Linked DNA regions of Caenorhabditis elegans. The protein of the gene in region 1 purifies or fractionates together with the protein of each later gene. This does not show direct contact. Each region holds a gene or a part of one and is shown on either strand. Other genes may lie near its edges.

Region 1 (2,895 bases):
AGTCTGGAACACAATTGGGAAACAAATTAAGTTTGATTGAAAAAAGAAGAGAAAAGGGTCATCACAAATCAGAGATTGTGAGACCTTGAACTTAAAGTGATAGTCTCTCGTACTTTTCTTCATATGGAGAATATCACGGAGTAGAGAAAATAATATGTTTTTGGAAGTAGAATCGATCATTTGAAAACTTTAAAACAATAGTTATGAAGCCGTGTTTTTTATCTCTAAAAGCTTTATTTTGTTCATACCATGAAATATTTTTATTTGACAGTGTCCAGTTTACTACGATTTAAAAATTTTCAGTTTCAATGTTCAAAAAACTGAACTTGAGCACTTTTTCTACACAATATCCTAAGTACTAGTATGCGCAAACAAACAGGTTTGTGTCAACTTTACCGCTCAGTCATTCATAAAAAGTGTACATCCAATCTAAACATAGATACACATGCCTATACTGAATATTCTAGTTTTTATATGTTTGCTAGTTTCAATTGAAATTTGAAGAGCATCACGATTTTTATTAGAATTAGAGCTCATTTGGGCAAAAAGGGAATCAATCGAATGAGAACGAGAGAATGAGTGAGGGTATTTACAAAAAAAAATTGAGAGGTTCTTTGGTTGATCAGCACTTATTGTCCTTGGGCCTTCTCGAGCTCAGCCTTGACGTTAGCTGGGAGGGAGTTGAGGTAGGCTTGGATCTTTTGTCCCTTGGCTTGAACAGAGAGGGAGCTGTCATTGGAGATGGCGGTAAGGTCAGCATCGGCCTGAAAGAAATTGAAAAGATTAAAATTGATACTTTGGTTTTATTCCGAAAACTAGTAGATGTAGTATTTGCAGTGCTAGTACAAATCCGACTAGTTTATCTGATTTTACTTTTACGTAATATATGGCTTAATCTAGTTGGTTTATCCACATTATCTTACTTTCTTGGCAGCTGGAGAGAAGTTGGAAACAGCGGCTTGATGAGCAGCCTCAGCTTGTCCCTGTTGTCCCTTGATGAATTTTTGGAAGTCAGCCCAGTCAGCAGCAACCTTTCCTCCTTGTTGGTTAACCCAGGCTTGGACCTTTCCGTCAAGAGCGGTCTCAGTCAAATGACCGTTGGCTTGAATGAGCTGTTGGAAGCTCTGAAGTTGAGCTGGAGTGGCATTACGAAGGAATGGTGGAACATCTTGACCTCCGGCTGGTTGTCCGTAGACAGACACAGCGGCGACGGCGAGAAGAGCAAAAACGGCAAGACGGCACATTTTAAGTGAATCAGAAAGAGTATTAGAAGACGACTGATGAGGGATGTCCAGCAGAAATAGTTTCTTTTATACAATCGACGCTCATAGTCATTTCTCTCTCCCTCTCTATCTCTATCTCTCTCTCTGTGCCGCCCTTTCGCTCCTCCCACACGTAGATCATAGATGAGACAGTATGGAGACATAGAGAGATACAGTGTGTTCGCTGAAGTTGACCAGTTTTCCGATGGAAAATCGCTGAATTTGAAACTTTTTCAACACAATAAAGAAGCCGTAGTGACGAATAAATTTAGAATATTGGAACAGAAGTTAAGAAAGACGTCATTGAGATAGAACGCGGACAGAGGTTCTCATGATTTTTTAAAATTCCGTTACAGATTCGATTTTCATTCTGTCTTCTTGTAACTGAACTGTTGTGTTGAAAGTCACATATCAAATATCTGGATTTCGTGAAAAATGAAAGGCTCGGAAATAGTAACTACTCTTGGAGTGTGATCAAATATTTCACTCTACAAAATACAAAAGTTAAAAAAAATATTTTTTAGTTGTCTCGATTCGAAATTAAAACTCCTTTCCCAACAAGTGAAATGACTTGCGAAAAAGTACTCTAGAACTATTGCATGGAAAATTTTCCCAACTTTTTCAAAACCTAGTGTTTTTCAGTCGATTTACCGGCCTTTTGCTTTTTTTAAATGATTTTATCATTATTCTTCATTTCCTTTTCCCTAACCATCATCAATATGAAACGTCTGACCTTTTGTCGGTATCTATCAATACGAAGATCTATCTTTACATCTTTCTCGTCTCATTTTAACACTTTCCTCAATGACATCATTCATCTTTTTAAGCTTATCATAGAAATGAAATAAGGTAAAATTTGAAACAAAAGGTGTTGTTTGTGTAGCCTTGAACTCATTTTTCTCTTTTCAGTATATTTTATTATCCGTTTTATGTGTATCATCTTCGAGGTTTTTCCATCTAAAATCGTAGTACCAATCCGTTTTCTTTCCTGTTTCTGCCTTCAGTCGATCCCATTTTATATCCTTCGATCACTTCCTGATATGGAAATAAAACTGTCGGTTCCTCCTTTTCTTGACTTCTTCATTTTGTCAAGCACCAACATTCTGTGGTTTCAATGACAACTTCTGATTTGTTCCAATGATCGAAACATATCTTTAAATGCTACAAGTCAGAATGGAAAGATGGTCAGAAGGTGTATCGAACAATTAAGTTTAAACTGAAAATGAATCGAATTTCTGACAACCAGCTTGATCTGTACAGCTCTAGACTTATGTATCTACCAAAACGTAATTCTAATTAGAACGTTTTGTTATGATCTATTTTTCTTGAGAATTTTCGTGAGTTAGACTACTATTCAAAACACAATTTCATTATTTATCCTTTAACATTGTATATGCCCTCGGAAACCTACACTTTCCTTCATTCAGATATTATCTCTAGTTTTATGACGTGGTCATCCATAAACATGTAAACGTCATTGTTTCTTTGTTCAGTTGATGTGCCAAATATGTACAAACGGACCATTTCTTTATAGGCGACATAAATCTTTTCGCTGACCTATCTAACAGAATATAACCTCAAACTACGTTTTCCCATATACCGACCGAAAACCAATGAAATTAAATCTGAGAGT
Region 2 (3,392 bases), on another chromosome or scaffold:
AGAGTGGACTCTTTTCTTTGGCTCATACAGATTTTTGAGCGAAAAAATTATTTTCTAGTTTGCTTCTCTGCTTCTAAATATTTCCGATAAAACATTTTTTGTCTGAATTATTGAAATTTGTTGGGTACAGCTATCCGAAACTTTAATAAAATTCCTAAAAATTATATCAATGTACAAAAACTGGCAATTTCAAGTAACATTACAACCAAGTGTTGAATAAATCCTTGCTAATGGTAGTTAATTTATTCTAAACTTCAAACTAATTTTAAATGTTACCTGCCAGGTACCAAGACCAATACTTGGCATGAGAACTCCATTAGACAGAGTGAAGATTGGAACTTTTGATGACATTTCGAAGGAAAATAAAGTTTGTATAGTTGGGGGTACTTCATATTTATACACAAACCGCAATCCTAATTATCGAATTAAAACTGGAAGAAAGACCTTGAATTTGTGGTCTGTGTGTGTGTTTCTCTTAATATATAAAGAAAATAGTTTGCGCTGTTCCAATTTGTACTTCGTTTTATTGAAATTAACAACATGGACGAGGGGAATGATGAGGAAAAGATTATGTCAAATGGGTAGAAGTAGACGAATAATGACGACTTGGAAGAACACAAAATACATTTTTAAGTACCAGAAGTTTAGGTGACTTGTTCCATTTCCTTTCCATTTTTATTTCTAATTTCTCGGTCTTTTTCCATCTTCTCCAGTCGTGAATTGGTGTATTTGTAATATCCTTCCTTCCCTAAATACCACATCAAGCGATATTCATGCTTTTGATTCATTCTCTCTGCTTTCTTTTTTCTTTCCTCAAAAGTTCGTTCCAGTTTCTCAAGTCGTTTCTTCTTGTACATTCGGTATTTTTCAATAATATGGTCGTTGTGGTCGGCAAAGATGTGAATCTAAAAATTCGATTTTTTTTTCAATTGTAGAGAATTTGGTGTATGTTGTTTCCTAACAGGATTAAAAAGTTAATTTGATGTTTTTGTGAGTTCATTGTACATTTTAACAAAATAAACCTACATTTGATATATGCCAACCAAACTTTCAAAATTTTCAGACTGGAATTTAATTTCAAATTTAAGACAATAATGCCAAACGTGTTCAAGATTTTGACATCTTTATTTAAAACAATTCTAGAAACTCACCGCCCATTCTCCAGCTAAGCCGTCTCTTTTGAATTGAGCATTTTTTAGAAGATAGTCATCTAATGAGTTTTCCAATGCAAATGCCGATGAATAATGAAATCGGAAAGGTTTAATACATCCAATTGGGTGAAGAGAACGGAAGAAATGCTGAAGTTTTGAATAGTTACTATCATTCATTGCAGCATATCCAGGGAAATACTCATTGAATTCTTCAATCGCAGCGACATACTCAATTGACATCAATTTGTGCTCCGATTTTGGGAATGTATCTCTCCATAGTTTGATTACTTTTTCGAACATTTTGAAGATAAGCAGGTTAGTTAGGAAGTGTCCCTGGAAATATTATTATTGTTATTATTATGAAAGAGATGGATAAATGTAGTAAGTATGCAAAAAGTAAATGAAAAGCCAATCGTATGCAAAAGAATAAATGGACAAAAGCTGTAGAGAAGCAGACAAAATGAAAGAGAACGAGAAATAGGATGAGGAACACTACACACATACAAACAAGGAGGCAACGAGTGGACCACCTCAAGCATCTTGTGAGTTATAATTTGCACACACCCCCCGTACACTTCCCCGCTTGTTTTTGATTTGATTTTGTAAAGGATGCAGAAAAAGAATTGAACAAAACAACACGTCATGATGCTCTGCTAGAGTGCTTGGAGCAAATGATAAGAGAAATATTAGAAGCTTTTATTGAAATCAGGTGGTCAGTGGGTGAAGCGCATGGTTTTCCCACAACAATGTGACCTCGATTATGAATTACAAGACTTTATGAAAAATTCGTACTTTATGAAAAATCGTTTGGTAAAATCTTTACGACTTACTTCCGTACTGGATCATCCTAGTGGGTACCTTCATAATACGTACAGTAAGCCTTCCACAAGGACGCAACTTGCGAAAATATTTTAAAATTAAACTCAACAATACTATTTTTAGTTGAACTTAGTTAAAGCTAGAATATGCGAGATTTTAACAAAGTGTTTATCCTGAAATTTAGTGCTGGTCTTGCTCTATTATTTGTACCTTCTATTGGAAACTTGACACCGTGAACTCATGATTTTCTATATCAATTTTCACATTTTTCCACCTCTTCAAAACTTTCCCTCTTTCAAGCTTGAAGTCCCTCTTCGGTTTTCTACAATGCTAACGAGCTTCAGTATCACGCATTACCCATGCGCAAGAAAATGAGAACAGACAAGAAATTTCAATCAAGCCTATTATTATTTTTCTCACTTTTTTTTCCTGTCTACTCACTTTCTCTTGAAGGAAAAGCTTAAAGCAGTGGCACCCACTGCCATCACTACTACAAACCGGTCATTGTCAACAAATAACACAACAACGCATTTTTGTTTTGTTGACGCCATGATGCGCAAGCAGGCATCTAGAATTATTATGCAGTGGTGGGATGGTAATTGTGAAAAATCCGGATGTTTTTACATTTTATACAAAAATTCATATAAGGAGTTGAGGAAAAATGAATACTTGAAACATGAATACATATGAAACAATTAGAGAAGTTACATTTCTATGTACAAATAAGAATGTTAAAAACATTTAGTTACAGTTTGTTCAATTTAATAACTAAAGAAAAACAAACGGTTCTTTGGCATTATTGAACAATTTTGAAAATGAAAAAATTCGGAAGAATGTTAATGAGAAATTTGAAGCAAGAAACACGTTACAGAGTGCACAAGTACCCGTTGGCAGAAAAGCAAGATACTTGGCACCTATAGCATTTCATATTCTAGAGCATCAACGTCCTTGTCCTCGATTTTCTCCAACTCTTCAATGTCACTTCCATCGTCTGAATCCTGATCACATTTGTCGAATTCTTCATGACTATCGGAATCACTCGCATCGTCCACAATTTTCGATTGTGACGCAGCCTAAAAATAGTTTTGTTGAAACTTTACGAGTGAACAATTTGCTTCCCAACAATTAATTAGAAATAACGAGAGAACCATTTTATTTATTATTATTTTGCACAAATCAAACTTTAAGCTAGAACTTACTTTTGTGTTCTTCTTGTCATCCAAGTTCAGTTGCTCCATAACATCTTCTAAAAGAGATGCTGCAATTGTAACTTCATTCGTCTTTTCGGGAACATCTGATTTAAGGTTTTCAGATTTTTCAGTTTTATCCTTTTTCACAGTTACAGATTTAGCAACTTTGAATTTTGCTTCGTGTTTCTTTGTCACAGACATCATCGACTTTTCTGTACTACTTTTCGATTGA
Region 3 (3,285 bases), 2.4 Mb from region 1:
AATGAGTACTGTAATTTCAAACTTTTGTTGTCGCGGAATTTTCATCAATTTTTATAGTTTTTCGATAAAAATATATTTATTTATGTGATATCTAAATATATCAACAAAACACGAATTTGGAAATTTTTTCAATTTTTTTTTTGCGAATTTTGAAAAATGAATGTTTTTATTGAAATTTTTGAGTTTTAAATATTTAAACAAATAACTTTTAACACAACTTTGTCGTGTCAAGACCAGTTACCGTATTTTTGGCACAAAAAAACGCGAAATTTTGCATTAAGGCAATACGACTCACCCAAATCTAGAGTTTCTTGGAAACAATGCGATCTACTATATTGATTCGTGAAAATCCGAACAGAGTGTCCTCGATCCTGTAATCCAACAGCAGCATCAACAATCAATCGTTCGGCTCCACCGATGCCTAGATCTGGATGGAGAATGGTTACCCGGACCATACTACCAAATTCAATATTTTAATTCTTGTATTCAATTTTTTTAAAATATGAGCATGGTAATATAAACATAATGTTATATAAACTTTTAATTTTTAGAAAATAAAACAATTTATTTATTCATTCCTTAAAATCTCTGTAAAACTCGGGGTGGCACAACCTATTGTAACATGGATGCTATGGCAATTCGAAAAAAAAAGTGAATAGGGAAAACCTTAACAAAAAAAAAAGATGATAACAAAAACTGATCTAAAGACCCTTCAGACAATCATCAAGAAGACTGCTAGCTCCGATGCGGAACAAGTGAGGATTGAGCCATTCGTCGCCGAGAATCTGAAAAATGAATTTTATAATTGTATTTAGAATAAGTAACACTCACATCTTTGACAAGAGCAACATAAGAGAGTGCTTCATCAACAGTTTTGATTCCTCCAGCTGGTTTGAATCCAACCTTCTTTCCAGTGAGCTCATGCCAACGCTTAATGGCAGTACACATAACGTAAGCAACTTCCAATGTGGCGTTCACAGATTCTTTTCCAGTTGAGGTCTTGATGAAATCGGATCCAGCGAGAATACTTGCCCAACTTGCTCTGTAGACGTTGCTCAAGGTTTTCAGCTCTCCAGTTGCCAAAATAGTCTTGAGATGAGCCGAGCCACAAGCCTTCTTGCATGCCAAAACCTCATCGTGAACAGTTTTCCAATCCTCGTCCAATGCTGATGCTCTGCTGATGACAATATCGATTTCAGTAGCTCCATCAGCAACAGAGAGCTCGACTTCAAGAACTTTGGATTTCAAATGATATTGTCCAGATGGAAATCCTCCGGCTACTGAAGTGATATTGGAGTTTAACTTCGAAGAAGCAAGGAATTTCTTGACATCGGCGATTCTTTGAGGATAGACGCAAACGGATCCACAATGAATTGATGGATCAGTTGGGACTGGATTGATTGCTCTTTTTGCCAATGCAACAACTTTGCTCGCAGTATCATCACCATTCAAGGTAGTTAGATCAATATATTGAATTACTTTGCGAATTTCGTCTTTCTGAAACAAGCATTTTAATAGAAACAAAGAAGAATTATGCTTATGAATTATTAATCTTACATTTCTCAAATTCTTCGCTTCTTGCTCGTATTTGCTGATGGCCTGAGCAATCTCCTGATTATCAAAATCGCGTCCAACTTCTCTTTCGAATGTGGCCACGTCGAAACGGCCCTTGTAAGTGTCACGAACGAATGAGAAGAGTGTTGGCACGATCGTCGCCATTTTGTGACTGAAAATTGAATATTTTTAGAACATTTTTCGAATAAAACGAGGAGTTGAAGAGGAATTATATAATTAAAAATAAAAATCGTGGCGCACCGAGCAAGATTGGTGCAAACACTAGAACGGAAAAGTGCACAACTTTTTTATCTTGGTGGGAAACAAGAAACAATTTTTTGTTGAAATAATAAATACTTCACAGCATTGAAACAATCAAAAAATAATAATTGTTTCAAATTAGAGAAAATAAGAATACTTTTTGTTCGCGAAAATGGCAAGAAAAATCGTGAGACCAAACCGATAAAATAATTTCTTCTTTATCGTTTTGTTCCAGTTGATAACAATTTTGATGATTGAGGCCATTCGATAAGTTATATGTGATCCGCTTATCATCTCAAAGGTCGTTTATTGAAAAAATAAGAATTATTTATAATATGCGCATTTATGAAAGTCACAAAATTACAATAAACCACTTTTAAAATCTTATTCTACACAAACCTACTGTAAAAGTTGTAGAGAAAACTGAAAGTTGAAGAGAGCATAGAGAAATAGAGATATACAACTGCTGACGTCTTTTCGGCACTCAGCTGACGCACTTTGCGCGCATCTTCGCAATAGATTTTCCGGATTTACTCTATTTTGGTAATACTGAATTCAAGTATGGCAAACGACGAAGAGTTCTTTATTGTTCGATGTCGAGGACCTTCAAGCTATCGTGAATCCGTCTATAAATACCTAGTAAGTTTTTTTTTGTATTTTTAGTTACGATAAATAAAATTCGCAATATTTTCAGACAGGACAACCATCTGATTGGAATCGAAATTCTGTGTTTTTGAGAAATATGCATGTCGGAAGAGCAAAAAATGTCAAAGAAATCTTCAATTGCATATTACAGACACAACCTCTTCCTGTTGTACAACCTTGTAAGATTTTTTTAAACAAAAATTTGTATTTGATTGATTTTTAAGGTCACCCAGTAAGACAACCACGCGAAAGCTTTTACTCATCTCATGAACATGATCCAATGGATGAAGTTTTACTACAAGAAGTGAAGGAAGAAGCTCATTCACTGGCTTTCAAAGGAATACCAATTGAAACCAAGGGTCCTACACCATCATCAACTATTATGAATCCTGAAGTTACGCTTAGAGACGTTCTGACGTTTCACAAAAATATTAAAAGAAGACCACAAGAGACAAAACCGGCAAAATTTGATTTCTCCGCAATGCCATCAACTTCTCGGTAAGTTTCGTGATTTTTTCAAATTTAAAATTCAAAGTAAAAAACTTTTCAGACTTCCACCTACATCTCCAAAACGCTACCGCCAGTTTGCACCTCCTCCAATCTCTATGAAACAGTCTCCCAAAATTTGTGCCAAAACTGTTTCGTGTCCGAGTACGTCCGAAGTAAAGAGCCCACCAAAAAAGATGATTATACAGAAGATACAGAAACATCAGGAAGCACCGAAACCAGCAAAAGTGCCAAAAATCAAAGGCGAAAAGAAGAAAAAAGATGGTGAGTTATTTTTAAAAAAATCGATAGATGTCTGATACAAAAGTGTCTATTGCA
Region 4 (3,336 bases), on another chromosome or scaffold:
CCAACATTTAAAAATCCTGTGAAAAAATCACGGTTGTGGCTTGGATTAAAAATGATTCGATTCAAATCAGCATAAATATCTCCCTACGTGCCTGCCTGCCAACAACTCTAACAAACATGTAATTGTACCTGATACATACAGTTTTTCCTTGCCATACTTTATTAAGTTAATCAAAAATTATTTCAAAATTATATGGACAAATTAAATATTATTAACTTTAAAAAGACTTTTAATTTTATTATTTTCCTTATTTTCTTCTTCACTTCCTTGCAACGCACTCTTTAAGTCATTCTGGAAATTTGTTTTGTTGAACTCGATCTCGAATTTAAGCAGTTCAATCATTTCGTTTTTCTGAAATTATAGTTTTAAAATTTAATTCCATGTAAGAAATCCGAACCTCTTTAATAATCTTTCTGGCTTGTACCAAATCATCAACCAACTCATTTGCATCTTCCTCCGCAAATTCCAATGATTCCAGTTTTTGGCTCAATTCCTTTATCACCTCGTTTCGCTCTTTCAGTTTTCTCTGAAGTCCACCAATTTTTGCCACAAAATCTCTTTGATGCATTCGAATTTTGATTAAATGATTGCTGATTTTACTTCTCTCTATTTTCATCTCCTTCTGGTGCTCTTTAATCATTTCCTCACTAGACTCGCACATTAATTTTAGTTGGTAATGAGCCTGCAAACGTTGTATATAAAAAAGAATGTCAAGATGCCTGCCTACATGCCTGCCTACCACCTAGCTCTATACATTTTGGCATGCATTCAGGAATTTAGTGAACCTCTAGAAAGTAAAACTGGGAAAATTTCCAAAGAAAATTTAGTTAATTTTCACCAAATTTTCGAAAGTTTTTTTTTTTAAAGTCAAACATTTTCCAATAAAATATTTCGCATTTTTTTCAAAAAAAACACATTTTCCCAAAAAAAATTCGATCCGTTCTACTGTCTATTTTAAAATTTAATAAATCTTCTCAGCTTTAAACACCTCTTAATTTTTTATGAGGGGCTCCAATAAATAGCTTGAGGGGAACACGATTATTGGAATTTACTTTTGAAATTGAGAAATTTTCAGACTCTCGAGAATTTCATTGATAATGCTAATAAAATATTCAAAAATATAAAAAAAAACAACAAAATTTACCTTTGCCTTTTCCTCAACTATTTGCAACATTAACAGAGCTACAGTAACCGCGTACAGTAACCCGAATAGAATCGGGAAATTATCCATTGAAAGTGTCATATTCCCGTCTTGAAAGATATTAGTTAACCACGACATTATAAAATAAAAAGATTGTCTTATAAGATAAGTAACAAACGAATGAATGAGCCGGTCGTCTTAGTCAACGGGTCAAGTGTTTCAGCCGCGTTCGTGAATCAATAAGAGCTGGAATTGCCTCCTGGCATTAGTGACTGTAGTCCACACTTTCTACTGCCTAAATTATCCATACAGGGCAATGTGATCAATTGATCAATAGGTTATTAAATATAACTATTTTATGCAGTGCAGTGTTTCATCCTTTTGGGAAAATTCACGGAATCAACAGGTGAATTTATGTTTTTTAGGGTGTGAACACAAATTGTTAATGTTATAATTGTCCTGGAGAGCCTTTAAACATTTTACAATTAATATATTATAAATAATACGTAGAAAATCAGTATTTGAACAGGAAAGTAGACATTTTAAAAATTTGAAATTTGAAAAACCGCCACAAACTCAAGCAACGACACTCCGAGATTACGAATCGCGCGTTGTTTACCGTAAATTTACACTAATTTTTGTTCTCTGAAATTTTTTTTTAATTGAAAAGCCGTCCATTTATTTATCTTTTTTTGTCAAATCCTTGTGTTTTACGTGGATGTTTGCATTTGTTTTTTATTTATTTAATTTCGAATCACTCAACTTTTTATTGATTTCTGTTCCTCAGGTGATGGCTGCGCGTAAGCTGATCGCACGTATCAACCCAACGAACAGTGCTCTTTTCGTCTGTGATCTTCAAGAGAAGTTCGCGTAAGTTTTGAAAGAAACTAGTTTATGAGCAAAAATAATTTATTTAATTATTTTCAGGTCAAATATCAAATACTTCCCAGAAATCATTACAACTTCGCGTAGATTGATCGATGCTGCCAGAATCCTGAGTATTCCAACCATTGTTACTGAACAATATCCAAAGGGTCTCGGACACACAGTTCCAACTCTCAAAGAAGGTCTCGCCGAGAATACTCCGATCTTTGATAAGACGAAAGTAGATTTTCAGATTTTTGTTCATAATTCAGTCTTATTCCAAAAATTTCAGTTTTCCATGTGCATTCCTCCAACTGAAGACACTTTGAAGAAAGTTCAAAATGTGATCCTTGTCGGAATCGAAGCACACGTATGCGTTCTTCAAACTACATACGATCTTTTGGAACGTGGCTTGAACGTTCATGTCGTGGTGGACGCTGTCAGCAGCCGCAGTCACACTGATCGTCATTTCGCTTTCAAACAGATGGAACAAGCTGGAGCTATCTTGACAACTTCTGAAGCTACCATTCTCGGACTTGTCGGTGGATCGGATCATCCAAAGTTCAAGGAAGTTCAGAAGTTGATCCTTACTTCAGCCCCTGATACTGGCCTCGTCCCGTTGTCGAAGCTCTAAATGTTTTCCGTTTACGGCTTCTTTTTTTGCCATGTAGATTTGTGTTTAGTACCTCACTATGTGTAATTACAGCATTTAACCGGTTTTCGTCCCATAAATTATGGTGGTAATTTGAGTCTTTTTGCAAAACGTTTCTTTCATCGCATCTCCTTGCCACCGTTTGACCATCACATCATGTTTCAAAAGTGTGGGTAAACATTCCGAAATTCGCGGAAACGAAATGCGCTTTGAAAATTTCAAGTGGCTCACACAGTAGAGCCCGCTAGTCCATTGACCTCCAATGTTTGTAGTTTGCGAAAATGATGGTGACGATGGTGCAAAGAAAACTTTCAGTTTTTTTTTTCAGAAAAGTCAGGTTTGTACAACACACATGCCACCACGTGGCAATGAAAAAGGCAGAGGCAACAAATAAATTGGAAGCAGAGACAATAAAATGGGTGGGTGATCTGATCTGTTGTGACGAACAAAATGATGATGATTGGATTCGCGAGCTGTTGATGAAATATGCAGAAATGAATCGAGAAAAAGAGAAGAAAAATACCCAAATATTCAAACAGACAGACGAAAAAAATGTTTTCCTGATTCGAGGAACGTGTTTTCTAAGTGGAACGACGGCAAAATATGGGTTGGTCAGAACGAGAGAATGAAGAAGCACAAAGTGAATATAGTATGGGTGATGTGGAAGGGGGTATGCAAA

The links.
Region 2: the proteins of srlf-1 (region 1) and ZC443.2 fractionate together in Caenorhabditis elegans (co-fractionation; one large-scale study listed by BioGRID). This does not show direct contact.
Region 3: the proteins of srlf-1 (region 1) and F09E5.3 fractionate together in Caenorhabditis elegans (co-fractionation; one large-scale study listed by BioGRID). This does not show direct contact.
Region 4: the proteins of srlf-1 (region 1) and marb-1 fractionate together in Caenorhabditis elegans (co-fractionation; one large-scale study listed by BioGRID). This does not show direct contact.

The regions. Positions count from the first base shown.
Region 1 is NC_003280.10:7,788,981-7,791,875, reverse strand, and holds srlf-1 (SXP/RAL-2 family protein Ani s 5-like cation-binding domain-containing protein), read right to left. Parts: upstream 1,285-2,895; 5' UTR 1,245-1,284; coding exon 924-1,244; intron 765-923; coding exon 630-764; 3' UTR 501-629; downstream 1-500.
Region 2 is NC_003283.11:12,809,708-12,813,099, forward strand, and holds ZC443.2 (uncharacterized protein), read right to left. Parts: upstream 1,486-3,392; 5' UTR 1,452-1,485; coding exon 1,152-1,451; intron 1,033-1,151; exon of another isoform or gene 906-1,032; coding exon 645-905; 3' UTR 505-644; downstream 1-504. Other genes in the region: ZC443.1 (NADP-dependent oxidoreductase domain-containing protein), read right to left, coding at 277-351; ZC443.3 (Glutamic acid-rich protein-like), read right to left, coding at 2,885-3,043, 3,170-3,392.
Region 3 is NC_003280.10:5,372,438-5,375,722, reverse strand, and holds F09E5.3 (Putative deoxyribose-phosphate aldolase), read right to left. Parts: upstream 1,727-3,285; 5' UTR 1,720-1,726; coding exon 1,558-1,719; intron 1,498-1,557; coding exon 832-1,497; intron 786-831; coding exon 702-785; 3' UTR 558-701; downstream 1-557. Other genes in the region: algn-2 (Alpha-1,3/1,6-mannosyltransferase ALG2), read right to left, coding at 296-455; agt-2 (AlkylGuanine DNA alkylTransferase), read left to right, coding at 2,377-2,454, 2,510-2,639, 2,685-2,958, 3,011-3,231. UniProt on the Caenorhabditis elegans protein: Catalyzes a reversible aldol reaction between acetaldehyde and D-glyceraldehyde 3-phosphate to generate 2-deoxy-D-ribose 5-phosphate.
Region 4 is NC_003282.8:12,207,603-12,210,938, reverse strand, and holds marb-1 (Isochorismatase domain-containing protein 1), read left to right. Parts: upstream 1-1,928; 5' UTR 1,929-1,931; coding exon 1,932-2,011; intron 2,012-2,068; coding exon 2,069-2,246; intron 2,247-2,297; coding exon 2,298-2,639; 3' UTR 2,640-2,751; downstream 2,752-3,336. Other genes in the region: F35G2.3 (uncharacterized protein), read right to left, coding at 202-351, 398-682, 1,145-1,231.